2 linked regions of the Xenopus tropicalis genome follow. The protein of the gene in region 1 purifies or fractionates together with the protein of each later gene. This does not show direct contact. Links are inferred from orthologs where the notes say so. Each region holds a gene or a part of one and is shown on either strand. Other genes may lie near its edges.

Region 1 (2,627 bases):
TTAAAGTCATCTTGTATCCCAGAGACTTCAAGTTAAAAGACATATTCCAGACTAACTGTGTTTTATTTCCTGGAAGGGTCAGCACAGAAAATTTGAATTTACTGCACCAGGGAGACCGCATTCTGGAAATTAATGGATCCCCCGTCACCACACTGAGCTCAAAGGAGGTTAGATCAAAAAGTCTGCTTCTGTAAAGGGTCAAAAATAGTAAAAATCGAAAAGAAAATTACCCTTTGTTGGTTTTACAGGACTGGTGAAATTCCCTTAACTTACAGCTTTTTCCCTTCCTTTAACCATTCTAGGCTGATGATTTGCTTTGCTCAACAGACCGGACCTTACAGCTTCTAATAGAACACAATCCCCCACCTAACTTACCAGTGGATAATGCTCCCCCGAAATCTCCCTCTTTTCGTTCCATAGAGGCAAGGGGTAGCACCGAAGGCCCAATGAAACGCAGCTCCATCCGGTCAGACTCTGCCTGCCTCTCAGTGCTATCCTGTACTCTACAGCTCCTCCCTAATGTTACTTTTGTAGCCTGCTGTTTTCAGTACTGTAGATAACTTTTCTGCTGGTCCCTCTTTCTCTTATTCACTATTATGCAACAAAACATTTAGCGCACTTGTAGTTCTCTATGTGCTACTTGATTGTTTCTCTAGCTGTTTGTAATTACACCTATTGGGGATGGTTGATTATCTGAGCGGCTTATTTTAGCTGACTTTAAATAGTTTTTTAAAAAAAAATAAAATAAATATCCTTAGTGATGGCTATATATATATATCATTTATGAGAAGTCTGTTAATCAGGTTAGAATGATGGGATCTGGCCATCCGAGATAATATGACTTAATTATACTTGTAGTAATCTTCTGCCACGAACAGCTGGTTTCAGGGCATCCCCTTCCTCCCCTCACTTTTAACAGCAGTCTGCAATAATATCCACTTAATTTCAATTCTTTATCTCCTTATTTGGTGTGTACAGGCGGAGTAATAGCAACACCCGTTCCCCAGGAACCTGCTGTCCCAAAGATCCTCGCTCTGTGTCACGTTCCGAGTCTCTGCGATGTGGAGTAGGTGGCGCTCAACAGATCTTTCGCCCATGTGAACTGCTGCATGGAGAGGAACTGGGGAAGGGCTTCTTTGGACGTGCTATTAAGGTATACACCATTCACTATGCTACAAGACAGTATTTAATATATGAGTCTCCTTTATTTAATACATTTTTTTTTAATTAAGTTGAACTTTTCTTTGTGGTTATAGGTGACACACAGAGCAACTGGGAGGGTAATGGTCATGAAAGAATTAATACAATTTGATGAACAGACACAGAAAAATTTCTTAACCGAGGTAGGTAAATACTGTTTTTTACAGTGGACATAAAATTAGAGGGAAAAATACAACATAATACAGCATTATGTATTCAGTCCTTTGACTCATTTTCTCTTACTGAATAACATCCCAGTCAGTGATAACTTATTCTGAATGTCTAAAACTTTTTTTATGTGACATAGGGGGTAGGATTGTGTTGTGAAACTGCTTTTGACACTGGGGGTGCCACATGTTATTATAAGTGCTGACCTAAGACCCCATTATGGTGCGTCTGTTTGCTGAAAATTGCACTAATCCAGGGTATTTTTGTAGGAGCACCACATCAAAATCTTCCACTTCTTTTTTCTCTGTGGCCTGGGGCAGGTGCAGGTGTAGTAGAGTGAATAGCCGCCTGTTTGCTTTTAGGTTCAGATTCTCACTTTTTTTACTGCTCACCCCAACCACACAGTAGAGAGAGTTTAGAAAAAAGAAGATGCTAGTCTGGAACTCTTCAATAGTACCCTGTGCCAGTGCAGTTTTTAGCAAACATGAGCACTGGATCAGGGTATCAGGTAAGCAGTTATAATCACTGGAGGATGCCCAACATTAATTTATTCAGATTTTTGGAAAAACTTTGCATGTTAGTTTTTTATATGGGTTAAAGTTATTTGTTGTATTTCAGGTAAAGGTCATGCGTTCTCTGGATCACCCCAATGTGCTGCGATTTATTGGGGTTCTCTACAAGGATGGTAGATTAAACCTATTGACTGAGTTCATTGAGTGTGGAACGCTGAAGGATTACCTGCGAGCGGTAAGGACATTGGATCAGTTCATGTTAATGTAAAGGCCACATGTATGGACAAGTGTTATAACAACAGTTATAGTGCATGTGTATTGAAACACTTTGGGGCATATTTATCAAAGGGTTAATCAAGAGCTTGCCACAGTCCACCAAGGGAAAGTTCACCACTTATCTATTCATTTCTATGGGCTTTTTAAGGCTTATTTAGAAATGAATGAACTCTCACTTTCACCCATTGATAAATATGCCCTAATAGTTCATAAATTCTTCCCTAACCTCTGCTTTCTGTTACAGGATTACTGTCCCTGGCAACAGAAAGTCTCATTTGCTAAGGATATTGCATGTGGAATGGTAAGGCCTTGTCACTGAATTTATTCTACCAAAATAATAATAAGAGTAAGGTATCCTAAAGTAACAATGATCTCTTCCCTCAAGGCATATCTCCATTCTATGAGCATCATCCACAGAGACCTAAACTCACACAACTGCCTCATTAAACTGGTAATAAAATAAAATCACTG
Region 2 (3,835 bases), on another chromosome or scaffold:
TTTCAGTTATTTAGCTTTTTTGTTCAGTATCTCTCCAGTCTGTAATTTCAGCAGCTATCTGGTGCTAGGGTCTTGTTTACCTTAGCAACCAGAGAGACTGGAATATAAATAGGAGAGGGAGTGGATAGAAAGATAAGTAATTAAAAAGTAACAATAAAATTGTAGCCTTTCAGAGCAATAATTTTTGACTGCCTTGGTCAGTAACTCCAATTTGAAAGCTGGAATTATGTAGCAGAGGAAGGCAAACAATTAAAAAAAACTATTAAAAAAAAAAAAAAATGATGACTTATTGCAAAGTTGCTAGGAAAGGAATATTCTATAACATTCGTAAAGTTAATTTAAATGCAAACCACCTCTATAAAGACCTGATACCTGCATAAGAATTGAGCTGCATATAGGTAATTATACTCTCTGCTTTGTGTCCCAGAATACCCTGCTGCTGAAACTGTATACACTCAAGCACTTCAGACGTGTCCGGCATTTTATTCCCAGGATCTCGCCATCCTTTTCTCGAACAGGGCTGCTGCTAGAATGAGACAGGTAGATGTATGAGGGCATTTTTTAATTATCGCATACACTAAAAGACCTATACATTAAATAATAGCAATGATTTTACACCATTTGTGTACTCGAAGCTGGTTTATTTTCCCTAGTGGGGAATCTATTTCACACCAGGAACCAATGGCAACAAGTTAGGCCACACTAAACTAAGTGAAATTTATTATCTTCATTTCACCACTGACTGTTTACTAGAACTCATTTCTTTAATGCAGTGGTACATTTCCCTCAGGGATAAATGCCTGGAAAAAAATACTGGGCAAGTATAGACCTTTCCCAGGATCAAATGCTGAAAAAAATCTTTGAAAACTATAGTCATTCTTTAGGGAAAAACTGGAAAGAGCGCTATATAGAATGCTTTGGTGATCCCTTTGGAGCTAAAGATCAAAACCTGGTTTTACTTTGCTTTAGTGTGACAACATATGCATATTATCTAAAATATTTACTGTCTAATGTTTAATATGCCCTTTTTCTAATGACATTGATATGTTTCTCTCTTACAGAACATGAATGATCTTGCATTAGAAGACTGCTCAAAAGGTACAGGTTTCCTTTAGTGTCTGCCAGGTTTTGAAATAAACTCAAAGAATATGTAAACTTTTTGTTTCTGGTTTCCCAGTTGCAAAGCATTTCCTGCAGAAGGAACCTGAAAAAGTGAAAAAAGTGAATCGCTGGTGAGAAGGCATTTTAGGATTAGTCGCCTGCTGCAGCCAGGATTAACCGCAGGCGACTAATCTCCCCATGGGCCATGGTCCTCAATAGTGCCCAGAAAAACATTACCTGCATTAAAGTCATTTCTAAATCGCAAACTGAAAACTTCAGTTAGTTTCTGCTACTACCTAGTCTAGTGTAGATCCCTGCCCCCTTTTCTGAGCTCTTTTTCTCTGTTTGAGTATGAAGATAGTTATAGAGGTGCCTGCTGCACATGCCTGATTGATTTGAATTCCATTGGAGCAGGAGGCAGTAAAGAAAAGGAGGTTTAGCTTCACACTAGACAACAAAGTAGCTGAAATGAGCTGCAGTTTTTAGCTTATGATTTAGAAACAAACGTGATTATGAATTCAGGGAGAAAGTTATGTTATTCCAGGAGCTATTTAGAGTCTCTTTGTGGATTTTAAAATAAAAAGGTAACGTATCCTTTAAGAAAAAGCGTGGCTGACTGTTTCATTATTCCAAAAGAAAATATTAATATGTAAAATTTAACTTCCACACTTTTTTTTTTTCAGTATTGTTTCTTAATTGTATGAAGGTGTCACTAATTATGTGCATAAGGTTGAAAATTAACTACAGGACAATCAAAGTTTACCATCCAAATCAAATTTGGCCTTATCTGGAGCTTTGGCCTAAGGTGGAGCTGAGAATTTAGTCACTGCAAGTCAGAGGCAGACTATCATGGCTCCCCCACCAAATCTGCTGAATGTTGAAGCAATATATGTATATTTCTTTTTGGCACTTGAGACTGAATGAACTCATCTCAAAGAAGGGGGTGGGAGGTGTTCTTTGCCTTTAATAGAAATGAACTAACTGAACTGAGGTAACCTTAGGCCCTGCCTTTTCCTGTATAATTTCAGCAATAGAGCTTAATCCTGACTACATCCGTGCATTGCTGAGAAGAGCAGAGTTGTACGAGAAGACTGATAAATTAGATGAAGCTCTGGCAGACTATAAATCTGTTCTGGAAAAGGATCCATCTGCTAATCCAGCCAGAGAAGCCTGTATGGTAAGTTGGCTGCAGGCTTTGTGCTCAGGTTGCTAGGGTCTTGTTTACCTTAGCAACCAGGCAGTGGCTTGAATAAGAGACTGGAATAAAAATAGGAGAGTGTATAAATGAAGGATATGGATTAAAAAGTAACAATAGTAAAATTGTCTCGGAGCAATAGTGTTTTGGCTGCTGGAGTCAGTGACCCCAGTTTGAAATCTGAAAAGATGTAGAAGTGGAAGGCAAATAAGGCAAAACCTACAAAGTATAATGAAGATCTATTGCAAACTTGCTAGGGAATGGGGCATTCTATAACATAAGGTGAACCGCCCCTTTAAGGTTTCTTGGTATTTTAACCCTTTCACTGCCAGCTGTTTTGGACAAAACAATATATCGTTTTTTCAGGACAACCTAAGCTTTTAAAATATGGTAGAATTTTTGTGTAATTCCAATTTTGTAACAAGATATAGGCTTCTAAATGTCTAAAAAAATGAAAAAAAATATTTTCCATAATATAAACACATATACCAGAAACAAAAATTATTTTATGCATGAAAATACACCTGATTTGGAAAGTCCCATGTCTCCTGAACGTGCCAATACCAAATATATATAGTTTTATGGAGATTTCTCACTTGTATAGGTCAAAAACCTCCAGCAGTACACTACCAGATTTCCAAAGCACTGCTCCAGAAAGCTGCATACTTAAGATTTTAAGGCCAAAAATTCCGCTAACAAAGTTCATCCCAGAACAGATTCTGGGGAATCCAGAATAGGCACAGCTGTCTGTCTACTCCAAACTATCAAGTTGCAATGCTTTCCTAAATTTATTGGTTTTTATCAAAATTTGTGAAATTTTTTAAAAATCGCTTCAAAGCTTCCAGTCTATAGTATCTTATCTCCTAAAGGTCATAAAGTAACCAAATAAAACACCCTAAATATGAACGCCAGGGGTCCACTGAACAGTTTGATACACAATATGTATAGGTTTACCTAAGTATGTGGCATGTAGGGGCCCCAATGTGAACATACCCCCATATGATCTATCATTTCTGTCATTTCAGCTTCTGCAAAATCAACACATTTACATAATTATATGTGGGATAATGCTAGTAAAAAGTACATTCACCCCAGAAAGTCATATATTTTTGGAAAGTACACATTCCCCCGAATCTAAAATGGGTACCCATGTCTTTCTACTCCAAAGTACCAAGCAGCAAAGCTTTCCTAAAGTTGGCAATTTTGATAACATTTCCAAAAATCCACTCAAAGCTTCCAGTTTCCAGCATCTTATCTCCCACATAGCATTAAGTACCAAGATAAAACACCCTAAAAATGAACACCAGGGGTCCACTGAACAGTTTGATGCCCACTGTACATAGGTTTATCAAAGCACATGGCACTTAGAGACCCCCAAATATACCTTGTGCACACTAATTTTATGGCTTACCTTTACCTAATTTATAAACACATGGAAGTTTTATGAGGGGTAGAAGCTGCAGAAATGTAGGGTGACCCCTAAAAACTCTATATTTTTGGAAAGTACACATTCTGAAAAATCTAACATGGGTAAAGAGT

Evidence for each region.
Region 2: the proteins of limk2 (region 1) and ttc1 purify together in Homo sapiens (affinity purification with mass spectrometry; 3 studies listed by BioGRID and IntAct, counting the BioPlex papers as one, with this or other methods). This does not show direct contact. The link is inferred for Xenopus tropicalis from reciprocal best matches to the Homo sapiens genes LIMK2 and TTC1.

What each region holds. Positions count from the first base shown.
Region 1 is NC_030677.2:152,025,196-152,027,822, forward strand, and holds part of limk2 (LIM domain kinase 2), read left to right. Parts: intron 1-76; coding exon 77-167; intron 168-302; coding exon 303-466; intron 467-978; coding exon 979-1,153; intron 1,154-1,256; coding exon 1,257-1,343; intron 1,344-1,986; coding exon 1,987-2,115; intron 2,116-2,400; coding exon 2,401-2,457; intron 2,458-2,541; coding exon 2,542-2,607; intron 2,608-2,627. UniProt on the Homo sapiens protein: Serine/threonine-protein kinase that plays an essential role in the regulation of actin filament dynamics. Acts downstream of several Rho family GTPase signal transduction pathways.
Region 2 is NC_030679.2:16,155,471-16,159,305, reverse strand, and holds part of ttc1 (tetratricopeptide repeat protein 1), read left to right. Parts: intron 1-427; coding exon 428-540; intron 541-1,061; coding exon 1,062-1,098; intron 1,099-2,129; coding exon 2,130-2,278; intron 2,279-3,835.